4 linked regions of the Saccharomyces cerevisiae S288C genome follow. Changing the gene in region 1 together with any one later gene gives a genetic interaction. Each region holds a gene or a part of one and is shown in the gene's direction. Other genes may lie near its edges. The genes, in order: SEC12, BUD27, OPI1 and LCB1.

Region 1 (3,862 bases):
GTTTTGGAGCCAACATTTCCGTTTCTTCAATAGAGGAGGAAGAAACGGAGCTACCTTCTATAGCTCCATTCGGTAGAATTTTATCAAAATCGCGTTCTGGCGAGTAACTGTGACGGGAAGCAAGGCGATCTTTTACACTATCAACATACTGGCAAAAAGTCATTACTGTCTTGGGCACCATAGTCCCGTATAAGTCTATTGTTATGAGACGGCCGGCTTCTTCCGAACTTTCAGGATCTGTGAAAACAATTCCGATGTTTACATTATGTGTAATAGGAGGGTCTGGTGCGTATTTTTTCTTTAGGTCTAAGGAGTCTGAAGAAGCCCTTTTGTTATCCACAGGTAATGGCAGAGCCGTTATGCAACTAAACATGAATGCCACATAAAGATAAAGAAAAAAGCTCTTCATTGGGAACCAATGTATACAAATTGTAATAATCTTTCAATTGTGATACTGAATATGAATAGTCTTCTTTATTTATCTACTGCAGTAGTTGATTCTATATATTCTATATATTCTATATTTTTCTTCTATTTTTTTAAATATTTTTTTTCCAATCAAATTGAAAGACCCAAAGAAGGATCGATCTTCTCCAAAGGGACGCGTCGTGTGCCTACAGTTTCCAAATCAGGAATGTATTTTCCTATTTAGGCAGGTTCCTGCAGCAGCCGCACCCCAATGAGGAAGGAGCATACCGTTTCGTAAGAATCATATTTTAATGGTTTTTGGCTTGCCAATGGAGGGTATGAGATCTTGCTTTAGGATGTCTCTACACTGAATCAGCTTTAAATCCTTGATATCTATCGTGGAATCTTGTGGGCCCCGCTCAGCTATGTTTAAATCATACGTTTTTTGTAGGATACTGGTGACGAGCCACAGCACTTGGCCCAAGGATGCGCTTAATGACAGCTGTGTGCAGCGGCGGTCGCCTAGTAACGAGTCAGTGAGCATGGCGCTGATTAAATCACCACTTCCACTAAATTTTGCGTTGATCTTGGGGATTTCATAGAAGAATATCTCTTCACTGGCCGAGCAATCAAACCCTGCTACTACGTAAGTGTCGTTGCTCAGGAATTCAGATAATTCCAGACTAGTGACAACTATTCGGCTTACTCGAGGGTACTTTTTATGAAATAGTTTAAATGCCTGCTTAGCGTCGTCTAAGGTACGAATTGACATCCCCACCAACAGTTCCATTTCAAACTGATTTGGTGTGGCCAAAAAAATTTTGAAGTTTTGTAAAATGTCTTGGTATACCGCAACACATTCTCGATCCACGTACAGCCTTCCATTATCGCCCAGTACAGGATCTAATATCCACTTGACGTTTTCACTCCCCTCACATAATTGACCCACTATTCCTGCTACCTTTTGCAGGGCTTGAACATTGGGTAAATAGCCACTAAGTACGGCATCATACTTGATTCTAAGAGACCCAATCAAGCCCTTCTCTACAATGTCTACCAACTCCTCAGTGCTGCATTTGAAGCCTGTGAAGTGGGCGTACCCCGAGTGGTTAGAAAACTGAACTGTGTTCAATACGTCCACATCCCAACCTCTGTATTGAAGTGGGAACGTAGCGGCCTTGTTTCCCACGTAGCCATGTATGACGTGTGATTGAATGGAGAGCACTTTTTTTGTCGTATGTAATGTACTGGTCATTGGCACCACCCTCACACAGGCATGTATTCAACCTTCCACTGCGTCTGGTCTAATTTCTCAAAGCTAGTTATTATCTTTATCTTGAATGGTGATGACAATAGAGTAAGAATGAGGGAAAAAAGAAAAGTTGAAAAAAAAAAAATCCAAAAAATTCAAAAACGTGTACAGAAACCTAGAAGGATACGTGATAGAAATACAGATATATAACAAGGTTGAGATACAATCGAGCCACTATGAAGTTCGTGACAGCTAGTTATAACGTCGGGTATCCTGCGTACGGTGCAAAATTTTTGAATAACGACACATTACTTGTGGCAGGCGGTGGAGGAGAAGGAAACAATGGCATACCAAACAAGCTGACGGTCTTGCGCGTGGATCCTACCAAAGATACTGAGAAGGAACAGTTTCATATATTGAGCGAGTTTGCATTGGAAGACAACGACGACTCTCCTACTGCAATTGACGCTTCCAAGGGTATCATTTTGGTTGGCTGCAATGAAAATAGCACTAAGATTACCCAAGGTAAAGGTAATAAGCACTTGAGAAAATTTAAATACGATAAAGTGAATGATCAATTGGAGTTCCTCACTAGTGTAGACTTTGACGCATCTACAAATGCGGATGACTACACGAAGCTGGTTTATATTTCACGAGAAGGTACCGTTGCAGCTATCGCATCATCTAAAGTACCTGCTATAATGAGAATCATTGACCCGAGCGACTTGACAGAGAAGTTTGAGATCGAGACTAGGGGTGAAGTAAAGGATTTACACTTTTCCACTGATGGTAAGGTTGTTGCTTATATCACCGGTTCTAGCTTGGAAGTGATTTCAACAGTGACTGGAAGTTGCATTGCTAGGAAAACAGATTTTGATAAGAATTGGAGTTTATCTAAAATAAACTTCATAGCCGATGACACAGTATTGATAGCAGCCTCTTTAAAAAAAGGGAAAGGTATTGTGCTGACCAAAATAAGCATCAAATCAGGAAACACTTCCGTATTAAGATCCAAACAAGTGACAAACAGATTCAAAGGGATTACTTCTATGGATGTCGACATGAAGGGTGAATTGGCGGTACTGGCAAGTAATGACAATTCCATAGCTCTTGTGAAACTAAAAGACCTGTCAATGTCTAAAATATTCAAACAAGCTCATAGTTTTGCCATTACAGAGGTCACTATCTCTCCGGACTCTACATATGTGGCGAGTGTTTCGGCAGCCAACACTATCCACATAATAAAATTACCGCTTAACTACGCCAACTACACCTCAATGAAACAAAAAATCTCTAAATTTTTCACCAACTTCATCCTTATTGTGCTGCTTTCTTACATTTTACAGTTCTCCTATAAGCACAATTTGCATTCCATGCTTTTCAATTACGCGAAGGACAATTTTCTAACGAAAAGAGACACCATCTCTTCGCCCTACGTAGTTGATGAAGACTTACATCAAACAACTTTGTTTGGCAACCACGGTACAAAAACATCTGTACCTAGCGTAGATTCCATAAAAGTGCATGGCGTGCATGAGACGAGTTCTGTGAATGGAACTGAAGTCTTATGTACTGAAAGTAACATTATTAATACTGGAGGGGCAGAGTTTGAGATCACCAACGCAACTTTTCGAGAAATAGATGATGCTTGAGCTTGAGAGAAAGTTATGAGGTAGCAATAATGAAGTAGCGAAAAGGAGAGTGACGACACTCAAGCTATGAAAAAAAACGCAAAGATACAAAAACGATCTCAATGATATTGATGATAGAGATTTATCTGATAAATTAGAAGTGGTGTATTTACATGTTTTTGTATATGTTTTGGAATTGAGCGTAATAGAAAGGACGGCAGTCCTTATGGTTTATGACAAATACGAAAAAAATACTACACAATGCTTTATATTATGTTCTCATTATTATATACGAATACGTACTTCTGCTGGTGCATTGTCTGCGCTACTTTTTTGAATTTCTATTTTTATTTTTACCATTATGGTTGGTCTTTTTCTTTTTGATGCTATCCTTAAATAATTTATCTAGGTCATATTCATCCTCTCCATCGTCTTGGCTCCCTGTAAATTCCTTATCCTTAGCATCCCTTTTCTCGTCTTCATTTTGTTCGCCTTCATCAAACTTTCTCTTCCTGGAACCACTATCATCAGAATTATCGCCAAAGGTTTTTCTCCCACTTATCACACCCTC
Region 2 (4,751 bases), on another chromosome or scaffold:
TCTTTTCAAATTCTTAATTTTTACCCTTTGATCGAATATTTTTAATTCATCATTAATCCAATTTAGGGAAACGTTCTCACGTTTAGCAACAAGCAGGGCCAAGTCCTTCGCGTTTTTCAATTCTTGATGCAACGCCCTTAAACGCTGACTGTTTAAGATATCTATACGTCTTGTTTTCCGCGGATGTCTCACTTCTCTTCTTCTGAAACAGACGTAGGGATCAATCTCTTCTTTTTCACCCGGCCTTTCAAATTTCAGCTGCGGAAAAATTTCGTACCCGTTAACTTCAATTTTTCTTTCTCTCCAATAATCATAAATTTTAGAGCCGAACTTCTCTATCAGCTGAATTAAAGGTCTCGTATTCATTTGAGATACGGGGTCGAATTGTGTGATAAAATGTGTTTTATGAGAATTTATTTCATGATTCAGCTGGTTTCTTAGATTGAAATCAGCCATATCTGATTTTATTAATGTGGGCTTCAATTCTTCAAAAGAAAGTATACTTTCCGGATCCATACTCAAGAATGGTTGACGCTCGTGAATAGCATGTTCAAAACTGGAACAAAGTATTTCAAATTCGTCTTCAGTTAAAATGTCTGATGAACCTTTGTTGACTTGTTCATTTAAAAAGGTCTCATCTCTTTCATCCATATTGTAGTTGGTACCACAGCAATCCTCCACAGTGGCAGAAAATTTGATGTAGCTGGTGGTCTCCTGGAAACTGCCCGTATAAAACTTATCATATTCATTCCAAGTCATAGAAGCATCCGGGGTCGGAATATAGTCTTTGTGCTTTGTATGACCAGAACCCATTTGTAATATTCGATGCAAATGGACCTCCTTTTCTTCATTTTTTTCTACACCAGTTTCGATCTCAACCACCTCTCTCTGTTGCAATTCATCTTTATCCAGGTGTTTCAGATCGTTAGGCAGATATATCTTAAGATGTTGCTTCACAGATATTTTTCGATGTCTAAATCGACTATTACTGCTACCAGCACTGGCTCCAGCACCTGAATCGCCTTTTGAGAATGAATCTAGACCGTCATCGTGCGCACTCCTAGATCCAGACCGCCTAGTGCTTCTACCAGATTTATGCGAACCGTCATTGATCTCTATAGCGTTTGAAGGTGTCGGCATCGTTATTATCGTTATTTGCTAATGTTATTACAATGTTTTTATAAGCACGTGACTATAATGTTACCCTATCGTGTGCAATTTTTATTTATGTTGACCTGAAGTCCGCAGTTGCCGTACAATGTGAGAATATGGACAAAAGGAAGGCGAGGGTGGCAAAAAGAGGAGTCAAAAATAGATAGCGTTTATTTTATTATAGCAGCTCAGAGGAACGCGATGTGGTGTAATAATATTGCGAGTGTCTAATGACCACCAGAATACGAGCACAGTTTTGGCTGATTTTTGCAAACTTTTTTGCTTTTGTGTAGTAACCTCTCACAGGTATTGCTTGTATGCTATACCATGTGATATGTAATAGTACAATTTTGTGGTCGGATCGTGCTTTTGCCACCCGCGGCCGACGGAGAAAATTTTTTTCCTCTATCCCTTTGTTTCTCGCTTACTCCTGCGGTATGGGGTGCTAACTATGGTGAGCGAGTATGGGAAGAAGTAGCGATATACGGGTAACCCTAATGTTTGGGTGTTTTGAAATTTATCCTTGGAGGATAGGCGATGAGCTGCTCTTAAAGGTTTTAACAGAGAGTGTTGTATGAATATTCTGTAGAATTTTATAGTAAACAGGTATCCTCAGACTGTAATAGCCATGGATTTGTTAGCGGCCAGCGTAGAAAGTACGTTGAAAAATCTGCAAGATAAGAGAAACTTTCTTTCGGAACAAAGAGAGCACTATATAGATATCAGAAGCCGACTGGTTAGATTTATCAATGACAATGATGATGGCGAAGAAGAAGGCGAAGGCCAAGGGATGGTGTTTGGTGATATCATAATTTCTACGAGTAAGATATATCTAAGTCTAGGCTATGAGTATTACGTTGAAAAGACCAAAGAGGAGGCCATCACGTTTGTTGATGATAAATTAAAACTAATGGAGGACGCCATTGAGCAATTTAACCTGAAGATCGAAGAGGCTAAAAAGACCTTAGACAACTTGAATCACATGGAGGACGGAAATGGAATTGAAGAAGACGAAGCGAACAACGACGAAGATTTTCTGCCCTCTATGGAGATTAGAGAAGAACTAGATGACGAGGGAAATGTCATAAGTAGTTCCGTTACCCCTACAACAAAGCAACCATCACAATCGAATTCCAAAAAAGAACAGACACCTGCAGTCGGTCCAAAGGAGAAAGGATTAGCAAAGGAGAAGAAATCAAAGTCATTCGAAGAAAACTTGAAAGGAAAGTTATTGAAAAGGAACGATGAAGTAAAGAAAAAAGTGCAGCCATCTAAAGTAGATACAGAAAACGTGTATACATTTGCCGACTTGGTCCAACAGATGGACCAACAAGATGAATTGGAGGACGGCTATATTGAAACTGATGAAATAAATTATGATTATGATGCGTTCGAAAACTCCAATTTCAAAGTCAATGATAACTATGAAGAGGATGACGAGGACGAAGATGAAGAAGAGTATCTAAATCATTCTATTATACCTGGCTTTGAAGCGCAGTCCTCATTTTTACAACAAATTCAACGCCTACGCGCACAAAAGCAATCCCAAGATCATGAGAGGGAAGAAGGTGACGTTAATAAATCATTAAAACCTATTTTGAAAAAGTCTTCTTTTGCTGAGAATTCAGACAAAAAGCAGAAAAAGAAACAAGTCGGGTTTGCATCTTCTCTAGAAATTCACGAAGTCGAAAACTTGAAAGAAGAGAACAAGAGGCAGATGCAATCCTTTGCGGTGCCCATGTATGAAACCCAGGAAAGCACAGGTATCGCTAATAAAATGACATCGGATGAGTTTGATGGTGATTTATTTGCTAAGATGTTGGGTGTCCAAGAGGCCGATGAAGTGCATGAAAAATATAAAGAGGAACTGATAAATCAAGAGAGACTTGAAGGGGAAGCAAGCAGGTCGAATAGAAGAACTAGGGTGTCCAGATTCCGGAAGGATAGAGCTTCTAAAAAAGAAAATACGTTATCAACTTTCAAACAGGAAACGACAAGGTCAGTGGAGAACGAGGTAGTGGAAAAAGAGCCTGTTGTGGGGGATATTATAGAAAAAGAACCTGTTGTGGGGGATGTTATAGAAAAAGAACCTGTTGTGGGGGATGTTATAGAAAAAGAGCCTGCTGTCACCGATATAGTGGAAAGGGAGCCTGCTGTCAACGATATAGTGGAAAGGAAGCCTGTTGTGGGGGATATTATAGAAAAAGAACCTACTATCAACGATATAGTGGAAAAAGAACCGGAAATTAACAGCAAGAGCGAGTTTGAGACTCCTTTTAAAAAGAAAAAGCTAAAATCACTGCAAAAACCAAGATCATCGAAATCAATGAAAAAAAAATTTGATCCCAAAATTCTCGAAAATATAAGTGATGACGATTATGATGATGATGACGATGGTAATAAGAAACTTTTGTCCAACAAAAGTAAAAATAACACTGATGAGCAAGATAAATTTCCTTCAAAAATCCAAGAGGTGTCTAGGTCGATGGCTAAGACGGGCGCCACAGTAGGGAGTGAGCCGGTTAGAATTACAAATGTCGATTATCACGCCCTAGGTGGAAACTTGGATGATATGGTCAAGGCATATTCATTGGGGTTATATGACGACGATTTAGAGGAAGATCCAGGAACCATAGTGGAAAAGCTCGAGGATTTCAAAGAATACAATAAGCAGGTGGAGTTGCTGCGTGACGAAATTCGAGACTTTCAACTAGAAAACAAGCCAGTGACGATGGAGGAGGAGGAAAATGATGGCAATGTTATGAATGATATCATTGAGCATGAATTTCCTGAAAGTTACACAAATGACGAGGACGAAGTAGCACTACATCCGGGCCGGCTACAGGAAGAGGTTGCTATAGAGTACAGACGGTTGAAAGAAGCTACCGCGTCGAAATGGCAATCATCATCACCCGCCGCACACACTGAAGGCGAATTGGAGCCTATTGATAAGTTCGGGAACCCGGTCAAGACAAGTCGTTTCCGCTCTCAACGGCTCCATATGGACAGTAAACCATAACCCATATGGAGACAGAAAGTAAATCAGAATCTATATTAACATATACGTATATATTTGTTTTGTGTACAATAACTACTACAAAATTGGGGACAGACGATATAAAACTAGAGGAACTGCTGAGCTTATTCGTACAAGTCTTCGTCCAATCTAGCAGCAGGATTGGTTTCGATAAAGTCCAAAGAGACTTTATGACCTAACAGTTCTCTGATGTTTTGAACCTTATATTTGATCATGGTAGGTCTTTCCAAGGATAACCCCCAACCAAGGACTCTTAGATCCTTTGGTAGACCCATGGACTCGAGCATTTCTGGTCTGAACATACCAGAGTTACCGATTTCGACCCATTTTTGCAAACCTTCGTGCCAAGAAAAGATTTCCATTGATGGCTCGGTGTAAGGATTGTAGGTAGGCTTGAATCTCAAACCGGTGACACCCATTCTTTCGAAAAACTCTTCCATGAACTTGATCAGGTCACCCAGAGTAATGTTGTAGTCGGCAAGAACACCTTCCACCTGGTGGAATTCGGCCAAATGGGTGGCGTCAACTGCTTCGTTACGGAAAACACGGTCGATAGAAAACA
Region 3 (3,772 bases), on another chromosome or scaffold:
CCAAAACGATTGGTTCTTTATACATTTGAAGAGAGACTTTCTGCATTTCGTTTCAGTGATACATACCACAGACAAACCAAATATAGACTTAATGACTATACTAGCCTTTTTGGAACAATTTTATCATCTTTTACAAAAATATTTTGAAATCGAGGTCTTAACTAAGAATGTCATACTGGACAACATCTTACTTGTCCTGGAGTTGATTGATGAATGTATAGACTTTGGTATCGTACAAGTGACGGATCCAAGTATCATCAAGGACTACATTCGTGTGAAGGTCAACGTACCAAGAGTTACAGTAGACAATGAGGAGTGGAGCCCTGGTGAAGAGAGCAGTAGTAGTAGCGGTAGCGATAGCGATAGCGAGTACAGCAATACTAATAAGAGGAAGGATAAGAAGAAGAAAAGGAAGAAGAAAAAGGGCACTAAAGGGAAAAGCGTGGGCAAAAGTAAATTAAAAAGTATAATGGTAAACAATAAAGAAAATAGGGGCATAAACGTGGTGGAAACTGTCAAGGAGACACTAAGGAACAAGAATGATACCGGTAAAGAAGCCGCTAATGACGAGCTCCCCAATGACGGTAATGATTTATACATCAATGGCGATATTGCGAAGACGATTATAATGCCCATATCATGGAGAACAAAGGGGATACATTACGCCAAAAACGAGTTCTTTCTTGATGTTATTGAACGTGTTCAGTACTTGATGGATTTTGAAAAAGGAGTGATTAGGAAAAATCTGATACATGGAGAGATTGTGTGCAGATGCTATTTATCAGGGATGCCCAAACTGAAAATATCCATAAACAAGATACTGAACAGGGACCCCCAGTTCATGTCGAATTCCAGCTTTCATCAGTGTGTTTCACTAGATTCCATAAACACTATTGAAAAAGATGAAGAAAAGAATAGTGACGATGATGCTGGTTTGCAGGCCGCCACAGATGCAAGAGAAATCGAATTTATACCGCCGGATGGCGAATTTGTTCTTTGCCAATACGAGTTGAAGAGACATGTAAAGGATGCGCCGATGGTGAGGTTGAAAGATTTTGAAATCAAACCTAAACTGAAGAAGTTTAAAATCCAAATTGTAACCAAAATTCAAACAAATTTTAAACCCACCAACTCAACGTCGAAGCTAAACGTGAGAATTCCCCTGACAAAAGTCTTCCAGGAATATAAAATAGACCTCAGCAAGCAAATTAGATTCAAGGCAAACATCGGCAAGGTCGTGTTTAACTTGAGTGACGATTTTCTCCTCTGGGAGATACAAACCATGAAGGGGCACCGAGAACATAGCACAAACAAGAGCTCACAGTACAACAGCGACGAAGATGATCCAAATACGTGTGCATCCATGGTGGCAGAGTTCCCCCTCTTCAACCAGGAAGAATATGACCGCCTGCAAGAAGAAATGAAAACCTCAATGAATCCGCCGCCCTTGCGCACGGGACCCAGGCTGGAAGAACTATATAGACAAGTGCACGACCAACAAACTTCCCACGTTACTCCTCGAGATAAGTTGGTCAACATTGATTTCGAGATTCCGTACTGTACATGCAGTGGCCTGAAAGTTGAGTACTTGAAGGTCGAAGAGCCACAATTGCAGTACCAGTCTTTCCCCTGGGTCAGATACAAGACCGTCAGCGACGAAGAGTACGCATATATTGTTTGACGCTTACGCAGACATCTCATAGATAGACAAATGGTACGTTCGTTTTAGTATATAGATGGCACCTTATAATCTTCATATGCAACCGGGTAAAATCGGGCGTTCTTATTTTTTTTTTTTCCACCTCAATGAGAGGGATTAATAAGAGGATTGGAGCAAGACAGCGATCTGCACTTAGCCAAGAAAGCATATCAGGCCAGAACGTGGCATTTTGTTTACAGTGCTGATTAAAGCGTGTGTATCAGGACAGTGTTTTTAACGAAGATACTAGTCATTGATGTCTGAAAATCAACGTTTAGGATTATCAGAGGAAGAGGTAGAAGCGGCTGAAGTACTTGGGGTGTTGAAACAATCATGCAGACAGAAGTCGCAGCCTTCAGAGGACGTCTCACAAGCTGACAAAATGCCGGCAAGTGAGTCGTCTACGACGCCGCTAAACATTTTGGATCGCGTAAGTAACAAAATTATCAGTAACGTAGTGACATTCTACGATGAAATAAACACCAACAAGAGGCCACTGAAATCAATAGGGAGGCTGCTAGACGATGACGATGACGAGCATGATGATTACGACTACAACGACGATGAGTTCTTCACCAACAAGAGACAGAAGCTGTCGCGGGCGATTGCCAAGGGGAAGGACAACTTGAAAGAGTACAAGCTGAACATGTCCATCGAGTCTAAGAAGAGGCTTGTAACGTGCTTGCATCTTTTAAAGCTGGCCAATAAGCAGCTTTCCGATAAAATCTCGTGTTTACAGGACCTTGTTGAAAAGGAGCAGGTGCATCCTTTGCACAAGCAAGATGGAAATGCTAGGACGACCACTGGAGCTGGCGAGGACGAGACATCGTCAGACGAAGACGACGACGATGAGGAGTTTTTTGATGCCTCAGAGCAGGTCAACGCCAGCGAGCAGTCTATTGTGGTGAAAATGGAGGTGGTCGGCACAGTCAAGAAAGTCTACTCGCTGATATCGAAGTTCACAGCAAATTCGCTGCCGGAGCCCGCAAGATCTCAGGTTCGGGAAAGTCTTCTAAACTTACCCACAAATTGGTTCGACAGCGTCCACAGTACATCACTGCCGCATCATGCTTCGTTTCATTATGCCAACTGTGAAGAACAAAAAGTGGAGCAACAGCAACAGCAACAGCAACAGCAGCAGCAGCAGCAACTTTTGCAGCAGCAACTCCTGCAACAGCAACAGCAAAAAAGGAACAAGGATGGCGACGACTCAGCCTCGCCGTCCTCCTCCGTAACTGCGAATGGGAAAGTACTCATTCTCGCCAAAGAATCCCTGGAAATGGTGAGAAATGTCATGGGCGTAGTCGACTCCACGTTGGGCAAGGCTGAAGAATGGGTGAAGCAGAAACAGGAGGTAAAAGAAATGATCAGGGAGCGTTTCTTGCAACAGCAGCAACAGTACAGGCAGCAACAGCAGAAGGATGGCAATTACGTAAAGCCCTCTCAGGACAACGTGGATAGCAAGGACTAACCGAGACAGATTGAGGTCTTTCATGCATTACCACCAGTAATAATATTATACGGAATAATATAGTTTATATAATATCCATAATCATAATCATAATCATAATCATAATCATAATCGTGATATTGTACCAGCCCCGCTTCTCCCCTTTTGAACTACCATTATTATCGGACCCTCTTTACCTTTGAATGGCTCAGTAAGGACCTTTGCGCAGCCGTAAGGGGGTCGGGAATACATTTCCGGGGTTGATCCTCGAGGAAAAGTGCTATCTATATAAGGAGAAGCCCTTCTAGATCCAAATATCAGGGGTAACTCTTCACAACTGGCCAGGAACATATTCCAAGTTAAAAAGAAAAAATAATTATTAGAAACCAATTACCAACACAAGATGCTAAGATCAAATTTATGCAGAGGATCTCGAATCCTTGCAAGACTGACCACTACACCAAGGACATACACATCTGCGGCGACAGCTGCGGCTGCGAATCGGGGACATATCATCAAAACATACTTCAATAGAGATTCTACGACAATTACGTTCTCCATGGAGGAGTCCAGCAAGCCGGTTTCCGTTTGCTTTAACAACGTTTTTCTTAGAGATGCCTCCC
Region 4 (4,156 bases), on another chromosome or scaffold:
AGGGCAAAACAGATGGTTCGCCACCTTCACCACAGGCCATTGGTTCGTAATAGTTATACTGAGTCAATGGGTCAGTGAGGCCATTTCCGATCAAGACGGAGGTTAAGTTGAAGTTTCTGTCCTTGTGAGACAAAATTTCAGAGGCAAAAACAGGGATGTAATGGCCGGCGTAGGATTCCCCAGCGATGTGGAAATCTTGGCCCTTGTTGACGTATTCAGGGAACTGATCGAAGAACAACTCCAAGAAGTTATAGACATCCTTACCAGCGGCGACAGTGTTGGAAACACCTGAGGACCCGGAATACGAGAACCCAACGTTGACAGGCTGGTCAAGGAAGATCACGGTGGCATTGCTGTTCCAAGAGTAAGGGTTCCCGATGGGTTTCAAATCAGGTCCAATGGATGAGGGTCCTAATTCAAAGAACAGCCCGGTTAGTGAAGAACAACCTGGACCCCCGTTCAACCAAAGGATGACCGGATCCTTTGCAGGATCGTTTCTACTTTCAAAAGTCCAAAAGAAGAAATGCTTGTCCTCGTCTTCCACATCCAAGTAACCCGTGTACTGTGTGACATTTGGGTCAATGCCCAGGATTTTAGGGTCCTTAATCTTGTTGACACGAAGCTGATAGTTTTCAATTGCGTCATTCTTGACCACAAAGTCCCAGTCTTTCTTCGTTTTGATTGCTTCAGGGAATTTTGGCTTAGTGGAAGTTTCAAGGCTCATAACCTGGTTTGGGTACAAATGCTCTATTTGGGCCCAAGCGTCCAATACATTGGAGTCCAACTCCTTCAAGAGATGATCCAGGTCGAGGTCCAAACCAAATTTTTCCGCAGCTTGCAGCAAAACGTCCTTATCTAGACCCAACGGTCTTTGCAATGAGATGGCCTTAGCGAGTGTAGTGGACAGGCCTAGTCCACATAGTAAACTGGTGAATGCTTTCATAGCGTATGTATACTTTAAGTTGAGTAGAAAAGAAACAATCTCTAGTGAGTATTCTTTCTCTCTCTCTCTCTTGTCTTGTTAAGACTAGGAGGGAAGACGAAAAGAATTATTTCGGAGCTTTTTTGCTGGCATTCTTATCTCGTGCTTTTATTAGTGGGCCCCTTCTTTGAGACCCCGCGGGTGATATGGCCCCTGTCTCAATGATGGATAAAGTTGTTGGAAGCAATTACCAAGACAATCACAAACGAAGGTTGCTACCGAAGTGTACTGGATGACCAACATCGCTATGATTAAATAAGACTATACATAATAGACAAGGGTGGCGCGGCTCCATTCCCAGGGAGACACAAACACGAGGTAAGTCTCAAAAAACCGAAGTTTCGCTCTAAAACTGCACGTAAAGGTCGTGGTATTGACTACAACCATTGACTGTTACATTGTGTAGAAGAAAGGTCCTCACATACTGCTCTGTCAATATGGCTTCTTGTGCAGAAGGTCAATATGTACTATTTCCATGAACCCACAAAATAAGGGAAAAAAAACACTGGAAATAACCGCCACACATACCGTATAAAAGTACATCTCTTTATACGAGTTACTTACTAGACCCTAACCAATGCCTTCAAAAAACAGGACAGACCCTAAAAACTACCATAAGAGACCTAACATATGTATCATCATATACGGAAATCGATTTCGCGTATTTTTTTTTTTTTGAGGCGCCATGATTTCTTACACGGTTTCTTTTTTTTTTCCTTCTTTCCTTCTTGCTTCTCTGCTAACAAATTTTTCACTCATTCTTTTTTATAGGGGCATATTGCTGCGGTTAACTGTAGTGAACGAAAGTAAGATTGAGAAAATATAGTACTTAAGAAAAAGAAAAGGAAAAATAAAAAAAATTCTTTTCAACATCATCGAGTAGCACAGTATAAGAGCGCTCTAACCTTCTGCCTGGCCTCCAATATACACATTTTGCTCGTGTAGGGTTATTTATCCTTTTTTCTTCCTTCCCACCCAAAAAAAAAAAGCAATGGCACACATCCCAGAGGTTTTACCCAAATCAATACCGATTCCGGCATTTATTGTTACCACCTCATCGTACCTATGGTACTACTTCAATCTGGTGTTGACTCAAATCCCGGGAGGCCAATTCATCGTTTCGTACATCAAGAAATCGCATCATGACGATCCATACAGGACCACGGTTGAGATAGGGCTTATTTTATACGGGATCATCTATTACTTGTCCAAGCCACAACAGAAAAAGAGTCTTCAAGCACAGAAGCCCAACCTATCGCCCCAGGAGATTGACGCGCTAATTGAGGACTGGGAGCCCGAGCCTCTAGTCGACCCTTCTGCCACCGATGAGCAATCGTGGAGGGTGGCCAAAACACCCGTCACCATGGAAATGCCCATTCAGAACCATATTACTATCACCAGAAACAACCTGCAGGAGAAGTATACCAATGTTTTCAATTTGGCCTCGAACAACTTTTTGCAATTGTCCGCTACGGAGCCCGTGAAAGAAGTGGTCAAGACCACTATCAAGAATTACGGTGTGGGCGCCTGTGGTCCCGCCGGGTTCTACGGTAACCAGGACGTTCATTACACGTTGGAATATGATTTAGCACAGTTCTTTGGCACCCAAGGTTCCGTTCTGTACGGGCAAGACTTTTGTGCCGCACCCTCTGTTCTGCCTGCTTTCACAAAGCGTGGTGATGTTATCGTGGCAGACGACCAGGTGTCATTACCAGTGCAAAATGCTCTGCAACTAAGCAGATCCACAGTCTACTACTTCAACCACAACGATATGAATTCGCTAGAATGTTTATTAAACGAGTTGACCGAACAGGAGAAACTTGAGAAACTGCCCGCCATTCCAAGAAAATTTATCGTCACTGAGGGTATTTTCCACAACTCGGGCGATTTAGCTCCGTTGCCTGAGTTGACTAAGCTGAAGAACAAGTACAAGTTCAGACTATTTGTTGACGAAACCTTCTCCATTGGTGTTCTTGGCGCTACGGGCCGTGGGTTGTCAGAGCACTTCAACATGGATCGCGCAACTGCCATTGACATTACCGTTGGGTCCATGGCCACCGCGTTGGGGTCCACCGGTGGTTTTGTCCTGGGTGACAGTGTTATGTGTTTGCACCAGCGTATTGGTTCCAATGCATATTGTTTTTCTGCCTGTTTGCCGGCTTACACCGTCACATCCGTCTCCAAAGTCTTGAAATTGATGGACTCCAACAACGACGCCGTCCAGACGCTGCAAAAACTATCCAAATCTTTGCATGATTCCTTTGCATCTGACGACTCCTTGCGTTCATACGTAATCGTCACGTCCTCTCCAGTGTCTGCTGTCCTACATCTGCAACTGACTCCCGCATATAGGTCTCGCAAGTTCGGATACACCTGCGAACAGCTATTCGAAACCATGTCAGCTTTGCAAAAGAAGTCCCAGACAAACAAATTCATTGAGCCATACGAAGAGGAGGAAAAATTTCTGCAGTCCATAGTAGATCATGCTCTTATTAACTACAACGTTCTCATCACAAGAAACACTATTGTTTTAAAACAGGAGACGCTACCAATTGTCCCTAGCTTGAAAATCTGCTGTAACGCCGCCATGTCCCCAGAGGAACTCAAAAATGCTTGCGAAAGTGTCAAGCAGTCCATCCTTGCCTGTTGCCAAGAATCTAATAAATAAAAATAGAAAGCCAGTATATGCACACGCACATATATATATAAATATTTATACAATAATACAAATAATCGTAACATCATCTCTGTCAAATTGACGTGGTGCACGGCGCCCAGAGAATGCGCTAAAAATTTTCGGATCCGAAATTTTCTTTCCTTTTACCATCGAGGCAAAGCAACCTGTATTATTTATTTGTTTATTTATTAATAGAAAAGAAAGGAGTACTTTCGTGGTACGCTTTCTTGAGCATTTTCGGTTTCACTAGGCAGAGAACTAACACAAGAGACACAGCAAACATCAAACAAGGTTAAAACAGCACACCAAGGCAATATGATGCATTTTAGAAAGAAATCCAGTATCAGTAACACGAGTGATCATGACGGAGCGAACCGTGCCTCAGATGTCAAGATTTCTGAAGATGACAAGGCAAGATTGAAGATGCGTACTGCTTCCGTTGCTGATCCTATTCTAGACGCTGTGCAGGAAGCCCAACCTTTTGAACAAGCTGCTGA

What was found.
Region 2: mutations in SEC12 (region 1) and BUD27 together harm fitness more than expected from each alone (negative genetic interaction), as found in Saccharomyces cerevisiae (2 studies listed by BioGRID).
Region 3: mutations in SEC12 (region 1) and OPI1 together harm fitness more than expected from each alone (negative genetic interaction), as found in Saccharomyces cerevisiae (2 studies listed by BioGRID).
Region 4: mutations in SEC12 (region 1) and LCB1 together harm fitness more than expected from each alone (negative genetic interaction), as found in Saccharomyces cerevisiae (2 studies listed by BioGRID).

The regions. Positions count from the first base shown.
Region 1 is NC_001146.8:672,724-676,585, reverse strand, and holds SEC12 (Sar family guanine nucleotide exchange factor SEC12), read left to right. Parts: upstream 1-1,896; coding exon 1,897-3,312; downstream 3,313-3,862. Other genes in the region: peptidylprolyl isomerase family protein CPR8, read right to left, coding at 1-409; putative pyridoxal kinase BUD17, read right to left, coding at 710-1,663; MPP6 (Mpp6p), read right to left, coding at 3,617-3,862.
Region 2 is NC_001138.5:89,206-93,956, forward strand, and holds BUD27 (prefoldin-like protein), read left to right. Parts: upstream 1-1,780; coding exon 1,781-4,171; downstream 4,172-4,751. Other genes in the region: EPL1 (Epl1p), read right to left, coding at 1-1,140; FRS2 (phenylalanine--tRNA ligase subunit alpha), read right to left, coding at 4,294-4,751. UniProt on the Saccharomyces cerevisiae protein: Involved in gene expression controlled by TOR kinase and nutrient signaling. May also be involved in positioning the proximal bud pole signal.
Region 3 is NC_001140.6:65,640-69,411, reverse strand, and holds OPI1 (transcriptional regulator OPI1), read left to right. Parts: upstream 1-1,955; coding exon 1,956-3,170; downstream 3,171-3,772. Other genes in the region: APM2 (Apm2p), read left to right, coding at 1-1,681; AIM17 (Aim17p), read left to right, coding at 3,553-3,772. UniProt on the Saccharomyces cerevisiae protein: Negative regulator of the transcriptional complex INO2-INO4 in response to phospholipid precursor availability.
Region 4 is NC_001145.3:858,709-862,864, reverse strand, and holds LCB1 (serine C-palmitoyltransferase LCB1), read left to right. Parts: upstream 1-1,973; coding exon 1,974-3,650; downstream 3,651-4,156. Other genes in the region: carboxypeptidase C PRC1, read right to left, coding at 1-943; GSR1 (Gsr1p), read left to right, coding at 3,975-4,156. UniProt on the Saccharomyces cerevisiae protein: Component of serine palmitoyltransferase (SPT), which catalyzes the committed step in the synthesis of sphingolipids, the condensation of serine with palmitoyl CoA to form the long chain base 3-ketosphinganine.